Linked DNA regions of Mus musculus. The protein of the gene in region 7 interacts with the protein of the main gene of each other region in a pairwise test. Links are inferred from orthologs where the notes say so. Each region holds a gene or a part of one and is shown on either strand. Other genes may lie near its edges. The genes, in order: Armc7, Txlna, Plekhn1, Mettl17, Cchcr1, Dzip1l and Cby2.

Evidence for each region.
Region 1: the proteins of Cby2 (region 7) and Armc7 interact in binary tests that used the Homo sapiens proteins (3 or more experiments, as listed by UniProt). The two-hybrid records come from large-scale screens. The link is inferred for Mus musculus from reciprocal best matches to the Homo sapiens genes CBY2 and ARMC7.
Region 2: the proteins of Cby2 (region 7) and Txlna interact in binary tests that used the Homo sapiens proteins (3 or more experiments, as listed by UniProt). The two-hybrid records come from large-scale screens. The link is inferred for Mus musculus from reciprocal best matches to the Homo sapiens genes CBY2 and TXLNA.
Region 3: the proteins of Cby2 (region 7) and Plekhn1 interact in binary tests that used the Homo sapiens proteins (3 or more experiments, as listed by UniProt). The two-hybrid records come from large-scale screens. The link is inferred for Mus musculus from reciprocal best matches to the Homo sapiens genes CBY2 and PLEKHN1.
Region 4: the proteins of Cby2 (region 7) and Mettl17 interact in binary tests that used the Homo sapiens proteins (3 or more experiments, as listed by UniProt). The link is inferred for Mus musculus from reciprocal best matches to the Homo sapiens genes CBY2 and METTL17.
Region 5: the proteins of Cby2 (region 7) and Cchcr1 interact in binary tests that used the Homo sapiens proteins (3 or more experiments, as listed by UniProt). The two-hybrid records come from large-scale screens. The link is inferred for Mus musculus from reciprocal best matches to the Homo sapiens genes CBY2 and CCHCR1.
Region 6: the proteins of Cby2 (region 7) and Dzip1l interact in binary tests that used the Homo sapiens proteins (3 or more experiments, as listed by UniProt). The two-hybrid records come from large-scale screens. The link is inferred for Mus musculus from reciprocal best matches to the Homo sapiens genes CBY2 and DZIP1L.

The regions. Positions count from the first base shown.
Region 1 is NC_000077.6:115,474,523-115,478,466, reverse strand, and holds the start of Armc7 (armadillo repeat-containing protein 7), read right to left. Parts: upstream 2,801-3,944; 5' UTR 2,531-2,800; coding exon 2,440-2,530; intron 2,346-2,439; coding exon 2,202-2,345; intron 1-2,201. UniProt on the Homo sapiens protein: As a component of the minor spliceosome, involved in the splicing of U12-type introns in pre-mRNAs.
Region 2 is NC_000070.6:129,638,266-129,642,209, reverse strand, and holds the start of Txlna (alpha-taxilin), read left to right. Parts: upstream 1-1,144; 5' UTR 1,145-1,239; exon of another isoform or gene 1,240-1,279; intron 1,280-1,404; exon of another isoform or gene 1,405-1,782; 5' UTR 1,783-1,788; coding exon 1,789-1,954; intron 1,955-2,642; coding exon 2,643-2,981; intron 2,982-3,944. UniProt on the Homo sapiens protein: May be involved in intracellular vesicle traffic and potentially in calcium-dependent exocytosis in neuroendocrine cells.
Region 3 is NC_000070.6:156,225,713-156,229,699, forward strand, and holds the start of Plekhn1 (probable pleckstrin homology domain-containing family N member 1), read right to left. Parts: upstream 2,801-3,987; 5' UTR 2,780-2,800; coding exon 2,697-2,779; intron 2,605-2,696; coding exon 2,505-2,604; intron 1-2,504. UniProt on the Homo sapiens protein: Controls the stability of the leptin mRNA harboring an AU-rich element (ARE) in its 3' UTR, in cooperation with the RNA stabilizer ELAVL1.
Region 4 is NC_000080.6:51,883,653-51,887,641, reverse strand, and holds the start of Mettl17 (methyltransferase-like protein 17, mitochondrial precursor), read right to left. Parts: upstream 2,801-3,989; 5' UTR 2,697-2,800; coding exon 2,619-2,696; intron 2,492-2,618; coding exon 2,338-2,491; intron 2,255-2,337; coding exon 2,120-2,254; intron 745-2,119; coding exon 663-744; intron 420-662; coding exon 338-419; intron 1-337. UniProt on the Homo sapiens protein: Mitochondrial ribosome (mitoribosome) assembly factor. Binds at the interface of the head and body domains of the mitochondrial small ribosomal subunit (mt-SSU), occluding the mRNA channel and preventing compaction of the head domain towards the body.
Region 5 is NC_000083.6:35,516,045-35,520,052, reverse strand, and holds the start of Cchcr1 (coiled-coil alpha-helical rod protein 1), read right to left. Parts: upstream 2,801-4,008; 5' UTR 2,312-2,800; coding exon 2,114-2,311; exon of another isoform or gene 2,089-2,113; intron 1,903-2,088; exon of another isoform or gene 1,837-1,902; coding exon 1,770-1,836; intron 1,675-1,769; coding exon 1,461-1,674; intron 912-1,460; exon of another isoform or gene 1-911. Other genes in the region: Tcf19 (transcription factor 19-like protein), read left to right, coding at 3,938-4,008. UniProt on the Homo sapiens protein: May be a regulator of keratinocyte proliferation or differentiation.
Region 6 is NC_000075.6:99,639,531-99,643,030, reverse strand, and holds part of Dzip1l (zinc finger protein DZIP1L), read right to left. Parts: intron 3,218-3,500; coding exon 3,133-3,217; intron 1,298-3,132; coding exon 1,179-1,297; intron 499-1,178; coding exon 337-498; intron 1-336. UniProt on the Homo sapiens protein: Involved in primary cilium formation. Probably acts as a transition zone protein required for localization of PKD1/PC1 and PKD2/PC2 to the ciliary membrane.
Region 7 is NC_000080.6:75,582,334-75,585,659, forward strand, and holds the end of Cby2 (protein chibby homolog 2), read right to left. Parts: intron 1,903-3,326; coding exon 718-1,902; 3' UTR 501-717; downstream 1-500.

The DNA.
Region 1 (3,944 bases), on a different chromosome or scaffold from region 7:
TTAAAATATCCCTAACACATCGGCCTCCCTCTAACACATCAGCCTCCCTCTAACACATCAGCTTCCCTCTAACACATCAGCTTCCCCTCTAACACATCAGCTTCCCTCTAACACATCAGCTTCCCCTCTAACACATCGGCCTCCCTCTAACACATCAGCTTCCCTCTAACACATCAGCTTCCCCTCTAACACATCAGCTTCCCTCTAACACATCAGCTTCCCCTCTAACACATCGGCCTCCCTCTAACACATCGGCCTCCCTCTAACACTTCAGCTTCCCCTCTAACACATCAGCCTCCCTCTAACACATCAGCCTCCCTCTAACACATCAGCTTCCCCTCTAACACATCAGCCTCCCCTCTAACACATCGGCCTCCCTCTAACACATCGGCCTCCCTCTAACACATCGGCCTCCCTCTAACACATCAGCTTCCCCTCTAACACATCAGCTTCCCCTCTAACACATCGGCCTCCCTCTAACACATCAGCCTCCCTCTAACACATCAGCTTCCCTCTAACACATCAGCTTCCCCTCTAACACATCGGCCTCCCTCTAACACATCAGCTTCCCCTCTAACACATCAGCTTCCCTCTAACACATCGGCCTCCCTCTAACACATCGGCCTCCCTCTAACACATCAGCTTCCCCTCTAACACATCAGCTTCCCTCTAACACATCGGCTTCCCTCTAACACATCGGCCTCCCTCTAACACATCGGCCTCCCTCTAACACATCAGCTTCCCCTCTAACACATCAGCTTCCCTCTAACACATCGGCCTCCCTCTAACACATCAGCTTCCCTCTAACACATCAGCTTCCCTCTAACAGCTTCCTGCTTAGCTGCTTTGTCTACATCGCATATCCAAGATGGCTGAAATGGAAGTAGCGTAAGTAGCGTGACACACCTCCTATGGCTCCATCTGAGTTCCTGTTTATCTCTACTTTGCTTGTTTTATTCGCCACCTAGCTCCCCTTCCAGAATACAATCCCCAACCTGTTCACCATCTCCTCAGAACCTGGGCCAGTACCTTCCTTATAGGGTGCCCAATAATGACTATCTATCATGGGGCAGAGGAGATGGCTTAGTAGGTAAAAGAGCTTGCCACACAATTCTGATGACCTGAATTCGGTTCCAGGGACCTACATAAGAAAACCAGATGCAGTGTCGAGCATCTGGAACCCCAGCACTCTCTCCCCATTAGCTGGAGGCTCACGGCCCAGCTATGGAGTGCACTGCCCTACTCTGAAGGCACAGAGATCTTCCCTTAGCAACTGGAAGAGGAGAACACAACAACAACGACTACCTTAGTTTTTAGAGACGACATCTTACCACATAGCCCTAGATGGTCCAGAACTCAGTACTCACGCTAGGCTGGCCTGGAACTCGGAAAGATCTACCTACCTCTGTCTTCCCAGTACTGGGGATGAAAGGCATGTACCACTGTACTCGGGGAGAACTGACTCTTGACAAATTTCATGCATACAGCCTGGTGCACATGCATACTCACACTCATCCACACACACATGCAAACACACACCTACACAGCAAATGTAAAAGAGTCTACCTTGAATAATTCAAACGGCCTTACAATAACCCAACTATAGGAGTTCTAAGCTACCTTTGCACCTCTTGACAGTAAACAATACAAGGGCAAGCTCCAGCCGGGCAGTGGTGGCGCACACCTTTAATCCCAGCATTTGGGAGGCAGAGAGGCAGGCAGATTTCTGAGTTCAAGGCCAGCCTGGTCTACAGAGTGAGTTCCAGAATAGCCAGGGCTACACAGAGAAATCCTGTCTCAAAAAAATCAAAATCAAGCAAACAAACAAACAAAAAACTAAACTTCTTTCAAAGAGGTTTCACCCCATTTCCTCACTTATTATCTCTTTTCTAAGAGGAAGAAAGACACGACTTGTTTGGAATGAGCTGTGACCCCGATAATGTGTGGAGGAGGAGAAGGTAGGTGGTCCACACACGGCAGCTCTGCCCTAGATGAGATCCCATCCCAAACACTAGTTTGTTTAGTGACAGTGTCTTACTCTGAATCCCAGGCTGGCCCCCAAGTCGCAACCATCCTCCTGCTTCAGCCTCCCGTAATGCTAGTTTTATAGGCGAGTGGCATGCCTGACTCTCAAGTCGCTCTAGTCTATAACTTGGGGGGAGGCGCGCGGGCACGGGGGTTGGGGGCAGCCTAACTCTTACCAATAGCAAACTTGATTAGGGTTTCATTCTCTTCCGACAGAGAATCAAGGAATAAGTCCAGGACTTGTAGTTGCCGTAGGTACTGGTAGTTGCCCGGGTCATAAGCGAAGTTGGCGAGGTTGGCGAGGACTTGCTCCTTGGCATCTGCAATGGGAAGCAGCCCTGGGGTCGGACCTGTGCGGCGGCGGCTGCCGTCAGAACCCTCCTGGGTCCCTCGTGCCCACGCTACACCTCTTACCTTGGCTCTCGGTTTCCTGGAACTCTGTGACCAGCGCCTGCAAGTAGCCTAGCCGCCCGACGTGGGGGTCTATCTTGGGTTTCTGTGCCATGGCTGGGGCGGCGGAGTTGGGAGCTCCGGTAGAGGCCACAAGGCCTGGATCCTGACCTGTCCCGGCGGCGACAGAGCGGCAGCAAACCCAGTCTTGTCCTGAGATCCGCGTCTGCAGCTGGGGATGAGCTGTGGGGGTGGCCAGGGGTCTCAGGATCCTGTCTGAGCCGGATCTGAAAACCAAAATTCAACCCGGGCGAGACGCTGTGGCTTTTCGGAACTGAAGGCAGGCACGCCCCCTTACCACACTCCCTGCACCGCTTCCTGGTTCAGGGCGGAAGTCTCTCTAGCCCCGCCCCAGGAAACGGAGTGAGCGGGACCAGGACGGGATTGGGCGTGGTTACTGGGCGCCTCCTGGGCTTCCCTCCGGATTTCTAGAGCTGGAGGCTTTAACCCTCCACTGCGCAGCCGCCGCAGCGGGGATGCGTCGAAGGAGAGAGGAAGGGAGAGGGGAGGGAAAGAGGAGAAAAGGAGAGAGAGAATGGTGGATGGATTGACAGCCGGGCAGACGGATCTTCAGGCCATCTAGACATGATAGTAGTTTAATCCCAGAACACGGAGTTTAAGGACGGTTTAGTCTACAAGGCAATCCAGAGCTACATGGCAAGACCCTGGTAACAAAACAGAACATCCATCAAACCCCAAACACAATCTTAGGGTCACAAGGAGCGTCAGGGAGGGGCCCAGCTTTGCCGTGCTGTGGTGGAGGTGGAGGATGGAGGCAGTAAGGGTTTTTAGGGCAAGGGTCAGGGGTCATGTACTATGTTTGGTACCAGGGACCTGAATCACAGCAGAATGGTTTGTGTACTTCACCTTTCCCTGGCCCCCACCTCTGGGGTTTAAGTTCCAGTGATCAATCCATGCCCAACATCAACCAAGAGCAAGAGTTTTAGTCTTAGTTTGGATGCTTGAGAACCAAGGTTGCTCCGTGAGAACTCTGTGCCCTTTAGGTTTTATAAGAAGCAGGCTAGGCAGACTTCTTACATCTCAGCTCAAGATGGCCAAGCGTCTGACTAGTCAGAACATCAAAGACCTGGGGACCTGGAGCCTTTGAGATTCCAGAACAAATACTTTGCAGACTCCCCTCAAAATTTTCCAGGGATGGTCCAAAGCAGATCCTGGCTACAAAAGAGTAGACTTTGCTTCCATCTTGTCTCCAAGCCCCAGGCTCCAAAGAACTGGGATTACAGCACACCTGGGCATGGGTGGGGCTGGAGATGGAAGTGAAGGTTTGATGTACGTGACTAAACTACATTTGCACCCTCATTTCTTCGTTGCTTATTGCCCTCAGATTAATGCCATTATTACCAACGGGCAAGTGTGATGAAAATTTCCTAGCTGGAGGATCACAGATTCTATTTTTCCTGGACGTGGGCCTGTTAGCCAGCCCCAACTCTGTTTTCTGTTAGAATGAA
Region 2 (3,944 bases), on a different chromosome or scaffold from region 7:
TTTTTTTAATGTTCTGAGCCTACACTGGCACTGCAAATCATAATGAAGAACAAAGACGAGAAAAATCTAACATTTTAAAGCAGTAACACTTGATACTTTGCAGAAAGTGGGGCAGGGGTGGTAGGGTGGGAGTTTACCAACCTGCCTAAAGCCAAACTCCCTGGCTTCAATCCCTTTCTGAGGGAGTAATTGCCAAGCTGGTGGGGTTAGAAGGCGGGGCATAAATTGCCTCAGAGAACAGCTGTGGTGTCGGAGAATGGTTCCAACCGGTTTTGGTAGGCAGCTCTGAGTTAGAAGCCAGCATAGTCAAAGATTACGTTCTAGGACACACTAGGCTACACAAAGAAACCCTGACTCAGGGGGCAAAGAAATATTTTTAAAGGATGGGTGCTGGTGTCAGGCTTCCAGCTTTGAATCTGCTATAACCACACAATATTGATGGAGCCTTAAACTATTTACCCTTTACCTGGTGGCCTTTGCCATTAGTCCAAGCCATGGGGAGGCAAAGACAGACAAAACTCTTGAGTTCAAAGCCAATTTAATCTACATAGGGAGTTCCAGGCCTGCCAAAGCCACATATAACGAGATGTTGTCTCTAACAAACAAATAGTAGTTTGTTTTATTTTAACTAGGCTTTTCTGTACTATCGTATATTTCACAGATCACTGAGTATTTTGTACTTAATCCGAGTAATTATGAGAATCAAGCTACTGGATACGAGGAAAAAACGTTTGAATTATTATAAACCTTCTATTGTAATAGAGGGGAAAAAAATGCCAGGCACATAACAAATTAGTTTACCTTTCTATCCCTCTTCCGAGTTCTCAGAGATCATAGAAAGTCATACATGTTTATAAAGGACTAATGAGTGTATGAAAAAAAAAGAAAAAAAAAAGACCAGAATGCCAAAGTTTAAGGCCAATCATAGCTTCAGTACCAGAAAAGAGGCTGACAAAAATCTCTCGACCAATGACATAATTTCGGACCCTCAGGGTATTTGGCTCCTATGCTTTTCGGTTGCATCTCGGGAGTTGTGCGGCGCCGCGAGGCATGAAGGGGCTCGTAGTTTTTCCCACTCCCGCCTCCAAAGCCGCCTTGACTTCTTTTTTCCCAGCAAGCTCCGCGCCCGCGTTTGCTGTTGATTGGCTGCGGCAGGAGAGGGCGGTCCTGTTGGCAGCAGTTACCTAGGTTTCCGGTGCTCGGCCGGAGAGGAGGACGCCGCCGGACGTCCGTGGTGAAGTATGTCTATGGGCTGTACGTGGGACGAGCTCTTCAGAGGGTCTGTGGCCCAGGACGCGTTGGCCGTAGAGGAACAACTAATTCGGGGGGTCGGGGGGAGGGCGGCCTGCCCCAGTGTTGCGCGTGCGTACTCTAGGTCTAGAGGGCGCGTGGGGTGTGGGTGGCTTCTGTGCGCGCGCGCGCGCGGGGGTCCCACGTGGGACCTGGTGGGGCGGGGAGCCGATCGGGACTGGAGCATCCCGCCACGTCAGTCTGCGGCTCTGAGCCAATCCCGCGCTCCGGCTGCCGAGAGGGAGCCGTGTGGTGCCGAGAAGTGGCATTCGGGAGAAAGGAGGCCTCTTCCTTCCCTCACTCACTCAGGGGCAGCTTCTCGGAAACCTTCCATGGGACCGTGAAATCCCGGGCGAAGACCGACCGGTCTGTTTGAAGCTTCGAGCGTCAGATTTGGGGATTTCTTATCTAGTTGTGAAGAAGAATTTTGAAGTCTAGAAAAAAAAAAGCAACTGGGTCCTTAAAGGATCTGCCCCATTTCTGGCCTTGCAGATCACAATGAAGAACCAAGACAAAAAGAATGGGCCTGCCAAACACTCCAACTCGAAGGGCAGCCCGGGGCAACGGGAAGCAGGACCGGAGGGAGCCCATGGACGACCCAGACAGACAGCTCCTGGGGCGGAAGCCGAAGGTTCCACAAGCCAGGCTCCTGGGAAGACCGAGGGTGTGTGCCAGCTCTGCTTTTCCAGTGGGCAGAGGGAGGAGTTTCTGGTACTGGTCTGTCTTCTGAGGCCAGTGTTTACCCAAGAAGAAGGAACTATAGAATGAACGATGCTCATTCTGTGTGATCCTTTTGTTTCCTGGGGAGGTGGTGAACCTTCCCACTCTTAGCCGTGGGGCGCAACCTTGGGAGCATGCTCTGACTGGTTTAAACGAAGACAGTCAAATGAAGCACCCCGTAAGCAAAGTCATATTCCCAGAGAACACTTGCCAGTGGTGGGTAATTGTCCTTCATGAGGTGCAGCGTCTGCCACATGCCAACTGCTCCTCACACAGGGGTGCTTTACACAGTTGGCTTTTATAACAAGTATGTTTGGGTGTTAGAAATACTTGTTTTATAACTAAACAAACTTAGGGTTTAAAAAAACTTAAATTGAGGCCAGGCCTAGTGTCCCTCACCATTGTCCACAGAACTCAGGAGGCAGAGGCAGACAGATCTCGGAGTTTGTGATCAGCCTGCATACTAAGTTCCAAGACAGCCAGGGCCCTGTAGAGAGAGCCTAACTCAACCGAATAAATAAATAAAACAACATTTAACCCACACCAGTGTGTTTATCTGGGCTTAAAGAAGATCCAAGCGAGTGGTATGACCACTGAACTTTAATCCCGTGTCTTCATCTTTCCTGCTGTAGGGGCTCGAGCTAAAGCAGCTCAGCCTGGGGCCCTCTGTGACGTCTCTGAGGAGCTGAGCCGGCAGTTGGAAGACATCCTGAGTACATACTGTGTGGACAACAATCAGGGAGGCCCGGCTGAGGAGGGAGCACAGGGTGAGCCCACTGAGCCGGAAGACACGGAGAAGTCCCGAACCTATGCAGCCAGGAATGGGGAGCCTGAACCAGGCATTCCAGTCGTCAACGGCGAGAAGGAGACCTCTAAGGGAGAGCCTGGAACAGAGGAGATCCGAGCGAGTGATGAAGTTGGAGACCGAGACCATCGGAGGCCACAGGAGAAGAAGAAAGCCAAGGGTCTAGGTGAGGGGGGAGCTATTGGTGAGGGGAGGGAGTTAACACCTGTCATCTCATGGGCTAACCTGCTCTGTCAGAACTCAAAAGAATCTGCTTTTCAAGACAGTATGTGTGTTATCTCCCCTCCCCCCCGCCCGGGTTTACTCAAAGATGGGGTCCTAGCATTGAGCTGTTAGATCACTCACTTGTGCAAAGCCTCCTGGCCTTGGGAAGTGGAGGCAGAGTGTAGCTAGCATCTCACTGAGGATATGGAGAACAGGAGGCCCGAGTGCTTGCCAGCACCACTTTTAGCTGCTGCTTGACTTTGGACATGTTTATTCTCCACTCCTGGGTCTTAGTTTCCCTGTTTCTATAGCAATAGAATTAGGCTACACCAAGGTTGAGATATCAAATATCAACATGAACCAGGTAAGCCACAGACCTCTTCAGAATCATCAAGAAAGGGCCTTCTTGATCTGAAAAATTGACTCCTACCTGGTTAGTCCCCCACTCTCATCTGACCAGCTGAATAATTGGCAACCAAAATAATAGAAACCAAGCAAAGCCATCCACTGGTGGGGTTTGCCATCTCCATGCCAATCTCGTGGGCCTCCAGGACTGACAATTCAGGAACCTGGTCTGTGCTGACTGAATACAGTGGAACCCAAGGGAGACAATTGTAAAGCTTCCTGGCTGAGGTAGAGGCAATCAGGCGTGATGGCATCCACCTTTAATCACAGCACTTGAGAAGCAGGGGCAAGTAGATCTCTTGAGTGCCGGACCAGCCAGCTGCATAATGAAACCTTATCTCAAATGAATAAAAACAGAGAGCAATGGCAGTCCTTTGACAGGGGTGGTGGGATAATATGAAAATATGAATTTAGAATCTAATGGGAACCTATGTGGTAGTGTATGCCTCTAATGGGCGACTAGGAGGAACAGAGGCAGGAAGACTGAGTTCAAAGGCAACTTGGACTACATAGCAAGACC
Region 3 (3,987 bases), on a different chromosome or scaffold from region 7:
GATCCCCAAGCGATATACACACAGCTTCTGTATATAGTTCTGATCTGTCCGTGCGTGGCCACAGAATGCATTCCTCAAGAACACACACATACATGCACACCACACACCCCTAAGCCTCGTCACATAAAAAGTGGAATATATGCATACCACACATATAAATATAATGCTCCCTGCAGTTACAGCTCTGCGCTCTATGGTATAAACTTAAGTTGGTATCACTGAGTTCAGTCCTTATCTTCAATACGGCCTACTCTGTACAACTTCACTTTGGTCATTCCACACCCTCAGACTTGCCCCAGAATTCAGAAGTGATATTATGAGAATGAGATAATGCTCACAGCCTTCTCAGGTTTTCAGTAGCAGTTGAAAGTTTTTTTTTTAAATCTAGTTCTATGAAAAAATGAAATAAAGAAGAAAAATCCAATATTTATTGTAATATTTACTAATTTCTTTAGTGTAAATATTCCCAACATTGCCCAAGTTGAGTTCGGTAACTCGTGATGTCGTGAACTTGGAACTGGAAAGAGGTACTAGTCAGTTGTTGTGAGTCTCTGCTGGCTATCCCAGCTCACCACATACATACTACGTATCTTACAGTGGAAGGTAGAGCATTGGCAATGGACTGAGGAGTTCTCTATGACTAAACTTGGGGCCCCGTCCTCTCCTTCGTTTTTCCATTATGTAAGACACATGATGTCTCACCTTTGCGTGTGCGAGTCTCTGCTCAGCCCTAACTTCCCATTTTACCCCTCTGTGGGCTCTCTGTTCAGGTTTACCTTCTTTCTGAATGTCCTAAAATTCAGCTTTTGCTTTTCACTTAGTACTGGTTTAGACTGGCTTCTCTTGTTTTGTCTTGACTATCTTTGACATAGTAATGGAAGAAGGTGACAACAGAAGTCTTATTCTGTTTTGCTCCTTGCTGACTCCACACAGTCTAGAACATGACCCTGGGATGTTCTGGGAGGATGGGAAAGAGGTAGGTCCAACATCTGCACAACTTTTAGACAGTCTTTGAAGAATCCTCTATATCATTTTAGAGATCAGAAATGGACTAAGTTGCGAGCCACAGGCTTGGGACGGGTGCTATGTTGCCTTTGGAAGCTGTCAAGGACTACCTGCATGGGCTACTATACACGGATCAAGTTGAACTACCTCTAGTGCAGGCCCTGGGAATGTGAACAGACAAAAGCAGCTCATATCCTCACTGACTCTGGGTGGGGCCTCCTGTACGTACACCCAGTGTTGAAACGCATGCTGGATGGCACTGAAAAATAGGCCATGAATAGGAAAGGCTATGACGCTGGTCCTGGTGCTCAGACAGCTGAGGGCTCAGCTTAAGATTGTGGCAGGGCTAGTTCTTGTTTAGATGCAAAATCTACCTAGAGTCCATAGTCCATGTACGGTGCTCAGGACTGGTTCTCTGCCTGGCTAGGGCCCCTTTTCCTGATCCCATTTCCTGAGGGTCACACTTTCCAGTTATTGTGACCTGACTAGGCTCAACTACTCTGGAACTTTGGGACTCCTTCCTAGAATTATTTCCTGGGCCTGACTGGAGGGAGTCAGGGTCTGAGATGTGCCCACAGGGAGGGGATGCCACCCTTGGTCACGCCAGGCCCCATTTCCCTCTTTATTTCTTTGAGGCAGTAAGGTTTCTAAAGGTGACACCCGTCTGTAGAAATCCCTGGGGCCCCAGAGACCAGGAGGGGCTGGTTTCCCAGTTTTCCTAGGATCCTGTGAGAAAGGTATACCTTGGGAGTTTGCACCAGCTGCAGCACCCAAGAATCCAGGAGCCTTGCCCCAACCCTGGTAGAAGCTGCACATATATAGCAGATCCCAGCCCACTGGGGTGGGTGTGGTCCTCCACGAACAGCAGAGTAGGACGTGTTCCTGTCAGACCTGCAGCCCTGGCTCCTCTCAAGTATTGCCATAGACTTGGGAAAAGGGGAGGGGAAAGGTGTGTTTTTCCTCGGCGAGTCATTAAACCCACAGAATGTTTAGCCTTCTGATCTCAGGAGGGTTAGCTGGCTTCTTGCTCTATGGGGATGGGTGCCCGCCTAGATGGCAACATGGCAGCTGTGGGCTCCACAGTGACCCTGGGGGACTGAGGCCCGCACTATGCTATTTACCAGAAGCTTCCACACAGGTGTTCGGCCCGCAAGACCCAGGCTGGGGCGGTGGAGGTTGAGGGCGGGGCCACTGTCCCTTTGGATATATCGCAGACTGGGCTGGCTCTGCCTGCTCAGCACTCACTCAGTGCTGGTCTTGGTTTCACTCTCAGCCTAGACTCTTGAGCGAGCTCCCAGGGAGGAGCCAACTTCCTCATCTTGCTTTGGATTTGAATCCCTCCAAGCAGACCAGGGATCACCCCAAGCTGCTGGAAGCTGTGATGCCCCCATGATCACTCACACTGTGGCACACACAAGCACACAGGGAGAAGCACAAAGCTGTACTCAGACTCCAGGCCCCGAGCCAACCACTCCAGCCGGACACGCCCCTCCGCTCACCGTCCCAGGGATGTAGTGGAAGATCCTGTTAGCCGCGGTGTCCCCATCAGGCCTAGCCTCGGTGCCAAACAAGCCAGCCAGCTTCCTGGCGCTGTCTTCTCTGGGAACAAGGGAAACCGAAGGCTCAAGGCCTGGTCCAGGCAGCAGGTCCAGGGAGACCCTGTTCCCTTGTGGCCAGGCCACACCCCTCACCTGTTTCCCTTGAGCGAGGGCTTTCTGGAAAAGGAGGCCCGTAGCCTCCTGGGGGCCTGAGGGACGCAGTGGCTGTTCCCCATGGATGGCAGCTGCTAGCTTGTGCTGGGCAGGTCCACAGGTCTGGGTTCTTGGTTCCTCTGTTAACGCCTCCCGCTGGTGGGCGTGGCCACAGGACGCCCTGCCCCTACCTGGGGAGGCTCCTCTCTGGGCCCGGATTGGCCCCTTTTGAGGGAAACCTTCCAGTGAGGGCCCAGGTTTCCTAGGCCCAAGGCAATGAGCCTTGGGGTAGAATAGGTATCTCCTGATTGGACCAGGAGCCCCCATCTCAGCACCCTGCATAGACCTGGCCAGAAGGGCCTGCTCTGTATACACCCGCACACTTGTATTCAGACTGGAGGAGCCTAGACGTTGGAGTTCTATGGAGGCAGGGATTCTCCAGTTGCCCCTCCCCTGCCAGGGTGCACACATCCTGTTTCCACACGAGTCCCAGCTGTCTGAGTCACTGGTGACTGTCGGGGGTGTGTTGCTCACTCTCAGCTGCTCAAGAGGTGCAATTTCATATAAAGGGAGAGAGACCTGAACCCTCCCCCAGCTTCTCTTCATTCTGGGCCAACCCTTATCCAGAATGAAGTCAGGGTCCCCAAAGTTTAATCAAATGCAAGAAAGAGGCCACGTGCCTCTCGGGTTCCTAAGGCTATCTTCCTCATTGGCCCCACACTCCCAGATCCCAGGAGCCTCAAGACTAGGATGACAGCCAGTCTCTGTTCCACTTGAATGCAGAAGTGCCATTTTGCAGCCCCAGACGTTAAGGTAGCGTTTGAGTCTGGCTGCACACTTGCCTGTAGACCTTCACTCTGTTGTCCAGAGAGGAGCCAAAGATGTGCTGTAGAGCCACAGCAGAAGGTACAAAGGGGGCCAAAGATGGACATTCAGCCTCAGGCCCATGGAGCCCAAGAAACATGTTTATTGTTCAAGTTGGCTCATATTGCTGTGTAGGATCTAAGTGCATGTTGTGTGCCCAGCTCCATAGAAGACCCAGAAAAGACATCACACTGTGTACACGGGACATAGGAAATAAGGCTGCTTTGTGTCCTTCAGGGATAGTGCCTGGCAGAGACAGATAAGTGCTGTGTGCAAAGCGCTGGCTAGGGGTCTGCATCATCTTCTTAGAAAGCCCTTGCCGCTGCTCCTGTTGCCACAGTTGCTCTGCCCCTTCCTGCTTGCAAGGCCCAGCTGTGTTGCTCATCCTCCTTCAGTGAGTGTCTACCCAGCATTCTCTATTGTCCCA
Region 4 (3,989 bases), about 24 Mb from region 7:
TAAGAGCACTGACTGCTCTTTCAGAGGTCCTGAGTTCAATTCCCAGCAACCACATGGCGGCTCACAACCATCTGTAATGGGGTCGGATGCCCTCTTCTGGTGGGTCTGAAGACAGCAACAGTGTACTCACATACAGTAAATGAATTAAAAAAATACTTTCAGATAGGAAACATCTCAGTGATTCTAACCTTTCTTAGGCCACAGGATTGTTTTCAAAGGATAAATAAAACCATTAGTGTGTGCATAACATCCCAAGAACTCCTACCACAGAAGGCTAATTTACAGAAAACAAAACCAATGGCAAAGGGGGCTGGGTTGGATGCTGAGAGACTCTCACCTCATGGAATGCCCTGAAAACTGCAGCAAAACCACCGTCCAATCTGGCTGCCATATAGATCAGACTCAGCTCTTCACTGTAGCTGTCAAACAACAACAACAACAACAAGTCAGAGACTCCCCCCTCCCCCACTTAGGAAATAACCTAGCCCCAGTTACCTTCTAAAGTTTATGAAACAAAAAATCTGAAACGATTCTTCTGGTTAGTCCTTCCACTTTCTAGTACAGAAGACTTCAGGAGGCTTTCTCAAACGCAAAGCTGACTACCTCTTCAGCTCTCCTCACGTGTAACATGCCTTCTTTGTACCCTTTCTGGAAGACCGTACCTGAGTTCCTGCCAATGGTAGGTAGTTTTGCGCAGGGCATGCAGTACTGCCTCACGAAGTTTCTCCTCTGTGGGAGCTGAGTCTAGGGTGAGAAGAACTGGAGGTGAGGACTTAGGAGAACGGCTTAGATCCCGTGAAGTACACGCCTCCCAGCCTTCCCCATTCCTGTCTGAGAAAATGCTCAAAGTCCGAGAAAGGTCAAAACTTCAGGGAAGAGGGATAAGACTGATGACCGCCACCATCACCAGAGTATCAAAGACTTTCCAACACTATCTTGTCTGTATATTATCTACCTAATAGTATCTAGACTATTAGAATAGTAGTTTAGTCAACTTAACCCATCCAAGTTTTGCGTCATAGTGAGCAGAAGCCTGATAAAAATGATTTTTTTTTTTTAAATATTTACTTCTTGTGTGCATATAGGTCCGAGTCAGTTCTCACCTTCACCCATTTGGTAGAAGGTCATCAGGTTTGGTGGTGAGTGCTTTTTTACTCTGTACCATCTCTCCTGTCCATGTGATAAAAATAAAAGCCAGGATAAGGGCACTTTTATAGACTTTTTCACTCTCTGACACTTAGGAGTGAGACATCTTCAATATTACCATAGAAAGGGGCTTGAAAATCCAAGTCTCCGGACTGTGTGGAGCTCTGTACCACTGGGCAAATTTCTACAAACACCTACAGTAGTGGCTTGAATGACAATGGCCCCATTTGCTCCCCAATGGCTCATCCGCTGGAATGCTTGGTCACCAGGGAGTAGCACTACGTGAAAGGATTAGGAGGTGGGCTTTGAGGTTTCAAAAGGCCATGAGAAGCCCAGAGTCTCGCTCTGTTCCTGCAGTTCCCGATGCAGATGCAGAACTCTCAGCTATTTCTTCAGCACCATGCCTGCCTGCATGCTGTCATGCTGACAACCGACTAAACCTCTGAAACTGTAAGCCAGCCCCAGTTAAAAGCTCTCTTTTCTAAGAGTTGCCGTGATTATGGTATCTCTTCAACAATAGAACACTAAGACACTACCCTGAACCAGGTACTGTGGGACGTGCAGGGAATACAAGAATAAAAGGCAAATTTACAATATGAAGTCCATAGTCTTAAAAATAATCTGAAATGTAATAATTTTCTATCCGAGGTGGGGTTTCGTGTTTACTGAACTGCCTGCCATATGGCCTTTACTTACCTGAATCAAAATATAGTCATAATCTCTTTGACTTGCAGCGGTGGAGGGGAAATTTTTTATAAAAAAACCCGAAAGACCAAAACTTCTGACCTTTACCCAATCTCCAAGGGCAACCTCTGGCCCAACCTACCTTCTTAGCAGGGCATCATCTAGTAGGGCTGTTACTACAGCATCAAATGAGAAACAGCAGTATTTATCTGAGAGATTTAAATTATTCTTTGATCCTAATTTCTCGTTGACATTTTAATCTGGTTTGCCTTTTAGTTTTAAGCCCTACCTTGTTTTTCCAGGAATTTTTTCTCAAGATACGCAGCCCGTCTTTGCAACTCCTCCGGCTCTACAGGTAAATGTCGGCTCCAGAGATAGTTGGTGAGTGCTTGCACCTGCTTCTCTACACTGCGCATGGGTCTCTCTGTGGTCACAGATGGAAAGGGTCATCGCTGCGTGCTGGCCTCGTTTGGTTTTATCTGGCTTCCCCTTCCCGCAGTTTCTCACCAAAAAGCATTAACTGTGCGGCGTCAGCCAGTGCTTGCGGCAGCTGGACGTGCGGAAGATGCAGGATGCCGGGATGCTTTCGATGGGGCTTCTTCCCCAGGAAATCCGACCCGTTGTCTACCTGGGACACACCGGGCACAAGGGCGGCGTATGCCTGCAGACAGCGAAAGAAACAGAATGGTTGCAGGTGCTTGCTGCCCGAGGCATCGCCGAGGTCGCTCCTCCTCCGAGAGATGTCTCTGGAAACCCAGTTCTCCGCCAGCAGAGGAAGATGCACTTACTCGGGACTGGGGTCCTCGAAGGCTGCGGCAGGATCTGCAGAACAGCAGCAGAAATCTCGGTGTCCTGGCGGTGGCCATGGCTTCAGGACACACCGGAAACGGAAGTACACATGCCTGTAACCCTCAGCCCAAGCAGCTAAGAGCATCTTCCGTGGAACTTCGACCCGGACGGTATCAACTAATGAGAAGAGGGAGTATTTGCTAACAGCCAATAAGCGACCTTATGTACCTTATGTACGTCTCTGCGAAGAAGGCCGTTCGTGGGAGGGGCTTAGCCTTCAGAAGGGGCGTGGTCTCAATGCTGAGCGTGGCTGCGGGCGAGACCAACCCGGCTTGGGCGTGTTTTGTGATGGGGAGGGATCAGTCTCACGGGTTAGGGGGGGCTAGTGGGGTAGGAGGGAGAGGGGTTGGGGGAGTAGGGAGATGGGGGCGGCGTGGAGGGGGAAGCAGTCTCACTGGGGTGGGGAGATAGAAGGGGACGTGGGGGGGTGGTAGGGAGTGGGACTTGGGAGGACAGAGGCGGGGGCAGGGCTGGGCGGGGGTGGGGGCAGGAGTGGGGCTGAGAGTGGGGTAGGCAGGTGAAAAGGAAAGTGTGGACTTTCTTTGTTTTCATTTGGTGCTGTAGAATTCTGAACCGTGGCTAGTTTCCCTTTGTGAGACGGGACAAGACCATAACAAAAATCAGATTTAGGCAGTCAACGATGAGCGCTAATAACTATTACAGTTTGCAAATTAATAAATATAAAAATTAGCTTACTTTTTTTTCACATTTGTTGTCTGCGAGTTTGCTCCAGGTTTTCTATCAAGAGCTTCCCACGTAGCACACCGAATTCCCGCCATCTTATTTCCACAAACATCTGTTGCTAACTTAATTTTTCACGTGGTTAATTTACCCAAGTTCATGAACTTAATAGGTGATAGCTGAATTAAGTGCTAGGGAGTCGAAAGTCAGAGTTACATTTTTAAACAATGCACCGTACTGGGTATTGTTGGTCCTTGAAATGCAAATGGAGAATTTTAAGCTAAATGTTCGAAGGGTTAATCAGTGTGTGTGTGGGGAAACAACAACAACAACAACAAAACCCCCCAAAACCTGGGGCTGGAGAGATGGCTCAGCGGTTAAGAGCACTGATTGCTCTTCTAGAGGTTCTGAGTTTAAATCCTAGCAATCACATGGTGGCTCACAACCATCTGTAAGGGGATTTGATGCCCTCTTCTGGCCTGTGGATGTATATGCAGCAGAGCACTCATACATCTTTAAAAAAAAAAAAAAAAAAGACTCATGGACCTGTAAATTCTTGGGTCCCGGCAGCAGTACTTTACCCAGCTGTGGTTTCCTCTTTAGCCTCTTGGGGGCAGAAGTTAGCTGAC
Region 5 (4,008 bases), on a different chromosome or scaffold from region 7:
TGTTACACCCTGCTCTTTTGGTGCGGGCTTTTTCCGTGAGTGTTTGGTACATTGCACAGGGAGTCTGAGGCGTCTGCATATCTGAATTGGTTATGTGGAGGCTCCAGAGGCATCTCTGTCCCTGAGAATGGCAGGATTTCCTTTAACTGGAGGCTAGCAATGACTTGCCACAGTTCCTTACAATCTGTCTCCTAACATGCCCCTCTGACAGAATGACACCCCAGGACACTGGGGGAAAGACACAGACGAAACAGAAGTAAGAATGCTCATTCACACAGAGCCGAATGTCCACAGGGGCTGGAGAGCCGGCTCGGGGTGCTAAGAGCGCTTGCTGATCTTGCAAAGAACCTGAGTTCAGTTCCCAGCCCCCCACATTCAAAGGCTGACAGCTGCCTGTCACTCCAACTACAGAGGATCCTTCACCCTCTTTTGGCCTCCAAGTATGAATGCTCACACACAATCATACACACATAAATAAAGTCTTTGTTGTTGTTTTTTCCAGACAAGTTTTTCTCTATGCAGCCCTAACTGTCCTGAAACTCAATCTCTAGACCAGGGTTGGGGCCTTGAACTCAGGGATCTGCCTACCTTTGACTCTCTAGTGCTGGGATTAAAGGCAGACCATACTAAGCTCAAAAATAAAATTCTTAGGGCTGGAGAGTTGGAGCAGAGGTTAAGAGTTCTTTAGGGGCTGGAGAGATGGCTCAGCAGGTAAGAGCTCTGACTGCTCTTCCAAAGGTCCTGAGTTCAATTCCTAGCAACCACACGGTGTCTCACAACCATCTGTAATAGGATCTGATACCCTCTTCCGGTGTGTATAGGAGTACAATGTACTCCTATAAATAAAACTAAATAAACCTTAAAAAAAATTTTTTTTAATAGTCTTAAAACACACATTGACACCAGGCGTGGTGGCGCACACCTTTAATCCCAGTACTCGGGAGGCAGAGGCAGGCAGATTTCTGAGTTCGAGACCAGCCTGGTCTACAGAGCGAGTTCCAGGACAGCCAGGGTTATACAGAGACACCATGTCTTGAAAAAACAAACAAACAAAAAACCAACAAAAAACAAAAAAAAAAAAACAAATAAAACCACATTCACAGAGCATAGCCAGCTCCAGTTGCACATTCCTGTAAAGGCCTGCTTAACTACTCCAAAAGGAGCCAGTATGCCTCTGGAGAACTGGGTCAGCATGTCTAAGCTGCACGTCATTTTGCTTTAAAACAGCTTTTGCAGAACTTATCCCCTCCCTTAAGACATTTACATTCCTTATGTAATGAGAATTTAAGTCCAAACATCTATTCTCACTAACCCCAACGCATGTGGTCTATGCGTCGTAGGGGCCAACAATGGCCTATAGAAAAACCACACAAGTTATAGAACCAGGGGCTGAAATGAAGGCATGCGTGTATGAAGGACCATGTGTCAGTCTGAGGAAGAGGTGATTGGCAGATCCCTACCTGCCTCTCCGCCCTAGCCCCTGCCCATCTCCACAGAAATCCTGTCCCCACGTGGTCACTGTCGACCTCTGAGCATCTAGCCGTCTCTCTAAGACATCTTGGCTGGCCGGAGATTGGACCAAGGGAACGTCTGAAGCCCAGGTCGGGGCCATTCTTGGCAGAGTTGGAAGGGGCCGAGCTTGGAAGTGGGAGGGAGGAACCAGCCCAGCAAAACCTGAGGGGGTCACAAGAATAAAGACTGTCAGATTCTGAGAGAGGGGGAGAGGGAAGAGGGAGATGATCCTGGTCTCCTTGACTAGCCTCACTGACCTGACGGTGGCAACATCTTCCTGTTATATGAATCCTGTAGCTCTTGTCTCCAGTCACCTATGTTCCCCTGGACAATAGGAGAAACAAGGATACTTCAATTCAATTTTTCAGGCCACCTTCCAAAGAAAAAGCCCTATAAAAACAAAGTCATAATCCTTAAGTTACTGACAGGTCTATCGGGCTGTACGCTTCTCTTTTCCTACTTCCCTAAGGCACACGGTAACCAAACCACTTGCTTGTCCCAACTACGCTCCTGATAGAATGAACCAGGCAACAACCCTAAGGTAAATTTACTGAGACGAGGCTTCCTTCTACTTACAGGAATGTGGGTGGTGTGCCTTTACCTTCCTCCTTAAGTGTCTACGGTCCCTGCAGCTCAGGACTCTCTGGACACAGTATAAGGAGCCCACTCTCCACAGTCCTTGCCATGGAATGGTAGGGCCGTTGGGAAGCCCATCTAGGCACCATCGAGCCAGGATTTCTGAGTCATTTCCTATTAAAGAGTTAGCCCAAGGCCTGGTCCGGGAAGAATGAGGCCACATGTGGGGTTAAGCGTCTTCCCTAGGATCCCTGAGGAATCGGAGCAGCCGGGAGCCCGTTGCTGGGAAGCCAGCTTCCTGGCAACTCATCTGGGCCTCTCTGTAACGGGCCTCAGTTGCTCTCTATCCCCTCGGCTTCCATTCCCGATGCATCTCTCTTCGGAGTCCTACAGCATCTTCTTTCCCCCACTTCCATCAGAATTCAAGTTTTTGGGTTTTTTTTTTTTTCACTCAACCCCCGCGATTCCTACCCGTTTCTCTTCCTAGACCTAGTATGAGTCTTTTTCGATGGAATTATCTTGGTCGCTCCCTGTCCTGTCTCCCCCACTTCTCTCCCGCACACACCCCGGGCTAATCCCCGTCAGGACCCTGAACTCTGAGGCTGTCTTGACCTCCTCATCTATCCTTTGACCCAGCTCCTGCACCCCTCTTGCCCTGTGGATCCCCTCCGCCCCCCTTGCGCCCCCTCTCAGACTCTTCCCGCCCCCAACTGACTCTCCCCGAACGCCCCTTACCCAGCGCGAGATCCGCCCTCTTGCCACGCCCCTTACACCTAGCACCCAGTCTAGACGCCACACCCAGATCACGCATGCGCGGGGCGGCGGGCTGCTCTACAGCTCCATTTCTCCCTACCGGAAATAGGAAGAAGAAAGGTGCAAGCAGGCACCCTGACGCCCCAAACTTTCTCCGCGCCCTGACGGCCCCTCCTCTCCCCGGGAACCCGGGAAAACGTGCCGGCCAATCAGAAGTGGCGGAGAGCGGGAGATGAGCAACTCCCCCCTGCGCATCGGCCAATAGAGCAAATGGGTGCAACTCAGATGGCCAATCAGAAGCAGCCGGCGGGGGGGCGGGCTCGCGGGCGCGAAGTCGGACCCGGGAATTCCGAAGGAGGAGTCTGCGCAGCGCGCGCGCGCGCCTTCACCCAAGCCCCGCCTTCGGGGCGGCTTCCTTGGCTGTCAAACCTCGGCGGGAGCGCGGGACGCAGGGTACGGAATCCCTTCCTCAGTTTACCCCGCGAGCGAAAAAAAGAAAGGGTGAGATCCACTTTGTTACAGAATTAGGGACCCGTCTGCGCCGCCCTTTGCGGGTGACAGTGGATTCACTTCCCTTAGGGGAACTGATCCGAAGAGCGGGGGTGGGGGGGAAAGATGGAAGGGGTGCGCTACTTGGATTAGAAAGTTTAACCATAAATTCCCTGACTCCAGGTTACACTTAGGGAGAAGACCCGTGTCACACGCACGTTTGTGTACCAGGGCCCCTTCACCCCCTCTGCCTGTTCCCAGTTGCGGTTTAAACTAGCTTTGCCTTGCACAGATTGTCGGAGGCTCCCGGATGTTGAGCCGCCTGAGGATCCGGCTTCACTGAGGTGCCACAAGACGTCTTCCTGGTTTTGCATCGCATCAGGACTTTACTGGAATTGCTTTTTAAACCTCATCTTGACAGCCTCTGTCTTGGTGCATATCCAGGCCTCTGGCGCTCTGAATCTGCACTGCTTAAGTTGGCATTAGGCACAATACTTAGCTGTTGACATCAGAGAGAACTGAATTGAAGCCCACGGTGCATGACCCAGGAGTAGGAGAGGGAATGGACTTCTGAGGTGGGCAAAGTGGTGCAGAGGGGGCACCCCCCATGCTGCCCTGTTTCCAGCTGCTGCGTATAGGGGGCGGCAGGGGCGGTGACCTCTACACCTTCCACCCCCC
Region 6 (3,500 bases), on a different chromosome or scaffold from region 7:
TCGATTTCCTTCTCTGGTGTGTCTGAAGACAGCGACACTATACTCACATATATAAATAACTTATAAATAAATAAATAAATAAATAAATAAATAAAAAAATAAATAAGTTTTTAAAAAATAATTCTAATATAGAACGAAGATACAGAAAGATGTTAGAAGACATGTCCATCTCTGGTCTCTACATACATGTGCATGAGCAAGCCCTTGTACATGTGCACAAGCATACAAACACACACAAACACACACACATGCATGCATGTGCACACACAAAATTAACTTTTAAGAACAAATAGGTTTGCAACAAACAAATTTTGAAAATCTTTTTGTGTGGGGTACCTCTTCTAACGTGGAGTTCTGGTTGGCAACAGTTTTGAATTCATCCCAAAACAGCTGTTTCAGCTTGTCTATCTCTCCATAAAGCTTGCTGCGTTCTTTTTCTTTCCATTCATCGAACTTTTTTTTAGCTTCCATTTCCCGCTGACGAGCCATCTCTAATTCCTACCCAAAAAAATAAAAGGCAGTATAATCATTGCTTTCCAGTTATGGCAAACATTTGCTGAGTACCAGCCAAGGCCTCCTCAATATGCATAACACTATGGCAATCCAAAGAACACACCACCCTCAGCCCCTGAAGTCTAGACCCAAAGTGGTCCACTGCTGGACACGACTTATCTAAACTATAGACTCTCGTGAGGATAAAACTCATTTTCTCTTTCTTTTCAATCCCCAATAAATGCCTGCTAAGGCAATAAGTGACGAGCGATGACATGGGGAGGTGAAGAAGGCTAGAGTTTTCACTCTATAAATTTATTTATATTTGATACTTATAGTTCACGCCCCCTAGCCTAAAATTCTGGAGTTTTCAAAACCAGCCCCAGTCTTTGTCCTCAGAGAGCCAAGTAACAGTGTGGCCCAAAACACTATGTTCAAGTTCAGATGCCTTCAGCATCCCTACGCAGAAGACCATGACTCTCTGCTGCACTTTTGGCCACACAGGTCTGGCAAAATAGTTTGACCGTCCCTTCCAAAGTATAATCATGTTCCACATGGGAGAAGGTGGCCTTCTCTCTCTGACTTCCAGCTCAGGGAAACCGGTAGGAATTTGGTTCCTGTGGGAGTCTAGTGCATGGCTGCACAGGACACCCTGAGCCTCTCCTGCCATTTCCCTGCACTCTCACCTGGACCTGCCGCTGCCGCTCAGCCTCCCTCTGGGCTTCCAGCTCCCCTTGGGTCCACTTGAGCTTGGCCCGAAGCTCCTCCAGCACCTCCCCCAGTGGCTGTTCCTGCTTCTGCTTTCCTGGGGTCCACACAGGATGGGTGAAAGGGGGAAGAGTCATGAGCAAAAACTGCCCTAAGAACACATGTCCATAGTGCTGGGAAGATAGCACAGTGATTAAGACCGACTGCTGCTCTTCCAGAGAAACTGAGTTCGGGTCCCAGGATCCATGTTGTGTGGTTCACAACTGCCTATAACTCCAGGCATAGGGGGTCTGACACCCTCTTGTGGCCTCTGTAGGCACACACACACACACACACACACACACATACAAGACACAGGGCATATATACACAGAAGCATACGCATAAATAAAAATAAATCATAAAATAGAAAAAGAACAAATTTCCCTCTCCTTCTACTAAAACACTATGAAAAGACACACACGAATATTTACATACAAGAATGTCAATCCATCCTGTGTTACATAGTAAGGAAATTTTTGAGTTAGCCAGATATTCTGTACCACAATGTGAAAGAAACTGGTGGTTACATCACGAAATTCTGTTCAGTCATTAAAAATCATGTTTTCAAAGATGGTTTAGGGCTGGCAGTGCCGCACAAAGCGCTGCTTTTGACCCCCATTACTGCGTAAGCAAGGCATAGCAGCATACACGTACAACCCCAGACCCAAGAAGTGGAGTCAGAGAGCCAGGAGTTCAAGACTACCCTCAGCTAGACTCAGCAGGTTCAACACTAATTAAAAAAAAAAAAAAAAAAGAAACAAAAACAAAAACCCAGAAATTGTGGTATTCTCAAGAGTTTTTATATACTTACAAATATATGCAGAAAAATATCAAAATAACAACTGCTGTGATGTCCTTTGTTTTTATCTTTCTTTTTCCTATATATCATTACATAGTTAAGTTTCTATAGCAAAGATATATTTTTACAAGAAAATAAGAAACCAATATTTAAGACATAGACTATTGACGGGCGGTGGTGGTGCACGCCTTTAATCCCAGCACTTGGGAGGCAGAGGCAGGCGGATTTCTAAGTTCGAGGCCAGCCTGGTCTACAAAGTGAGTTCCAGGACAGCCAGGACTATACAGAGAAACCCTGTCTCGAAAAACCAAAAAAAAAAAAAAAAAGACATATACTATTTTCCTCAATAATCCCCAATATAGAACTATGAAGAGATATATAATAAGTATACAACTAAATGATACTGCATTAAGCTGTGTGCGTGTGTGTGTGTGTGTGTGTGTGTGTGTGTGTGTGTGTGTCTATCTAAGAACTGAACCTAGAACTACACTGCATACAAGCAAGTCCTATATTACGGAGCTACATTCTCCACTGCAAAAAAAATGTAAGAGGATTACAATGATAGGAAATAACAATGTTTCCCTTAATGAGAATTTTATATGTATGTTATGCGGTTATTTCATTGTACAGACACTTCTGTTGAACGCAAAAAGTACATATAACTTTACAAGGACAACACAAAGCTTTGTTACTCCTTTTGGAATCTGAAATGGTACAATTAAATAAAGTGATTAAGTCGTGATAAGCTCCGTACACAGAACAGCCAGAGAACTGGTCTGACTGCTCATTTGCCCCATTTATACAGTCAGCCTCGGATTGCTACAGATGAGGCTACAGGGAGGCTAAAGGCCCTTATGAGTCACTGCCTGCTCCACACACAGTGAAGGGCACAAGTCAGAGGCTAAGTACTGGCCACTGTTCATGGAAAACTAAAACTAAACCTACCTGTCTGATGCCTCTTGTCCCCTACACAGGCAAGACTGCACAGGGCACCATGTGGAATCGCTAAGAGGCTCTAAGAGCAGGTCTATGTGCATGGGCCTCACACACCAAATCCTTGCCCAGCAGTTCCCCAATGAAGCCTGGACTCACCGACATCTGCCATGCCTGCATGTCTGCGTTGGATGTGGCCCCGGAGAAAGGTGGCATTCATGAAGGTCTTGTCACACAAGTGGCACTACACAGAAGAAAAGCAATTGGAAGGGCTGGATTAGATCCCCCAGACAGCGTGGAAATATCCTGTAGTGAAACTCTGCCTCCACAGGGTCCATGGGCTGCCTCAGAAATAAAAAAGAATTTGAAGGGTCGGGAGTGGGTGAGACCCTAGGTTCAATTCCCAACACCACAGAAAGACAGAAAGAACGGTGGGAGTGGGAAGGGAAAGAAAACAGAAATCCTGATTTTTAGTCAAATATGAGGCCAATAAATACCACTATGTGTCCCAGCCCCTATTACAACCA
Region 7 (3,326 bases):
CAGGGTTCTAAGGACCCTAAGTGTCACAATCAACATACAAAGACAGGCCAGGCTCATTGTCTAAGGAATGTAGCCAGAGGATCCTAACTAGGGACTTTGTGTGCTAATGAGTCCATGTGGACTCATCAATTTTTATAGATTTTGGTAGGGGATATTGATGACTATGGCAGAGGTCTGCAGGAACTCTGACTTTCGGCTCAATTTCACTCTAAAAAGTCCGTCTGTCGTGCCGAGTCCTGTGGCCCATTTCCCAACCCCTTGCATTTTATAAAGCCTTTTTTTTTTTTACTATGTAGCCTAGGTGAACCTTAAGTTCACAATCCTCTTGCCTCAGCTTCCTGAGCCCCGAGAGAGTGCAAAAATGCACCATCATACCCTGCTAAGGCTATAGAAGGGGAGAAAAGGTACAGGGGTTGAAAAATAAGGACAGGGAACCAGATAAGGAGATGGTTGATAAAGACGAGAGAGGCAAGGCAAAGGAACAGAAGGGGAGGCAGTAAGACGTTAAAGAGTAAGAAGGAAGGGGGAGAAGAAGCCATAATTCCACGCTGGTGTTGGCTGGCCCCAGCCTCCTCTGTCTTTATTGTGTGTCAGGTGTAGGATGGCCCTTTCTCCGTTGTCCCACGGGCACGTGCTTCTGGGCAGAGTAAGGAAGACAAAGGAAGGTTGAGGGTTCTCTCTGGTCTGGTCTTGGTGTCTATGTCTGCTGCCAAGGCCTCAGACCCTGCTGGGCTTTTTGGGATCTTTGTTGTTCTTGGCTGGCATGAAGGCATACAGCTCTTCGATAAGCATCTCCATCCGGGCTGTGACCTCAGTCACCGTGTCGATGACCAGCCGCTGCTGCAGCTTCAACTTATTGTTCTCCCACAGGGCCTTGTTCTCCTCCTGGAAGACGCGGTGCTCCTCTCGCAAGATGTGCAGAGCCCTGTTCTCCTCCTGCAGCAGCCGGTTCTCCTCCTGCAGGGCCTGCAGCGCCTGGTTCATCTCTCTCAGCAGCTGCAGGGGTTGAGCGCTGTCAGGTAGGTTAGGGCCTACTTTGCCATCCTCTTCCCCAGATGCCCCAGACAAGTTGTTAACCATCTCCCTCAGGGCACGCAGTGTCTTCGAGTCCTCCTGTGTTGTGGGGGGCACTTTGGGGTCCTCAAAGGGGGAGGAGTGGTTTGTGCTCTGATCTGGCAGAAGCCCTGAGTTATGGGACTCCTCCTTGGGTGAGGAGGTGGACTTGCCTTCCTCAGTGGAAGCTGCATTCTCTTCTGCCTGGGCCCAGTAGGCCTGCCTCTGCTCCAGCAACTGCTGCAGGGCCCGGTTCTCCTCTCGAATGAGCTGTAGGGTGCTCTCTTTGCTACGCTGGGCAGGCAAAGTGGTGTTGTCTCTCTTCACCACTTCCTGGGAGGTTGTGTCCTTGTGCAACAATGAGGAGGTCTGACTCTCCTCGTGGCCTAAAGTGACCTTGTGCTCTTCCCAAAAGACCTGTAAGATCTTGTTCTCCTTGCGGAGGGCCTTGTTCTCATCCCGTAGGGCCCGGTTCTCATCCCGAAGAGACTTGTTCTCTTCCTGCAGCTGGTACTCCTTGGCCAGCCTCCTGTGGTGCAGCTTATGGTGGAAGGAGGAGGGGGGAGAGAAGTAAGGTGGTTGTAGGCGGCAGCTCTCATTCACCCAGCGCCCATCCTGGAAGACAAACATCTCATCGCTGAGCTGCACCCGGGGAGGGTTGTAGTCTAGTTCCAGGTCGGCCTGGGAGGTGGGGCGCTCCATGGGGTCAAAAGGCATAGAAGAGAAGCGGTTGAGTGGGTAGGAGTGCTGGCTGGCTACCCTGCGGCTCATCCGAGGTAAGGCAGCCTGCCTGGAGCAGCGAGGAGTACTGTACAGGTTGTGGAGCCTCAGGAAGGGCTCGGTGCCCCTCTGTGGGAGAAAAGCAGGGAAGCTGTTAACGGAGGAACTGTTGAAAAGAGTGCTGGTGAACTAAGAGGTCCAGAGATGCCTTCACGTGACCTCCAGGGATCTTAATGAGGACGTATAACCAGCCTTTGTAATCCTGGGTAGCATCCTTCTGAATTAATGAATACTGAACCATGGTTCCTAGGGGGGAAAACTGAGCCAGGTTCCTATAAGGCTCGAGTCATCAAATTTCCGTGGACTGCTAAAATAGAAGACACTGCTTCTGTTTATAGACGCCCTCATGGATATGCAGATTGACAGTGTGTGAATCCTCTACCGTGAGCAGAGCTTATCTAACAAGCTTGCTCCGTGGGGGCACAACACGGACCCGTGGTAATTAAGAGTCTTTAGCCATATGTTTAGATGTCACTGTAAGCAGTGAAGCCAACAAGAAGTACAAAGATTCAAAATCATACTGGCATATAAACTGAAAACAAGACACTTTTCCAGGATGGACGTTCAAACAAGGGGCACCTTACCCCCAGTTCTTGGCTGTATACCCATATACAAACATCTCTGTAGATCCAAGAAAGACCATAAATATTCTATGAGCACTAATGCTGGTATAGTCAAAGTCCTATACATCCATAACTATAAAATCTATAAATAATTAACTACATACTGTGCAGGCCTATAATCTCAGCTACCTCAGAGACAGTGCAGGTAGGAACATAAAACTCAAAAAAGGAAAAGACACAGATAATAAGATCCAAACACATGGCAGAAATGAAAGGTACTTATTTTAGAATCAACCTTTTTTCTTCTTCTTCTTTCTTTTCTTAACTACTTATCAGTTATGTGAATCTGGGCAAGTTGTGTGAATCCCAGTTTCTACAATTTTAACTTGGGGAAACTGCACCACCTTGAAGAAAGTGTCAGATTCCTTGGGGCTGATGTTACAGTTGTTGGCAGGATGGCCAGCTGGCTCCGTGGCTGCATTTTACCTGTATAATTCATTTAATCCTCACGACGCCGGCAAATGAAATACTATTTCAGCCTGACATTCCTAATCAGAAGATTTTTCATTTCCAAAGTGCTCCAAAATCTGAAGTTTTTCTGAAGCATCCAAAAAAGTGAGAAATCATCAGGGAAATGCAAATCAAAACAACACTGAGATTCCACTTCAGAATGGCTAAGATCAAAAACTCAGGTGACAGCAGATGCTGGCGAGGATGTGGAGAAAGGGGAACACTCCTCCATTGTTGGTGGGATTGCAAGCTTGTACAACCACTCTGGAAATCAGTCTGGCAGTTCCTCAGAAAATTGGACATAGTACTACCGGAGGATCCCGAAATACCTCTCCTGGGCATATATCCAGAAGATGTCCCAACCGGTAAGAAGAACACATGCTCCACTATGTTCATAGCAGCCTTATTTATAATAGCCAG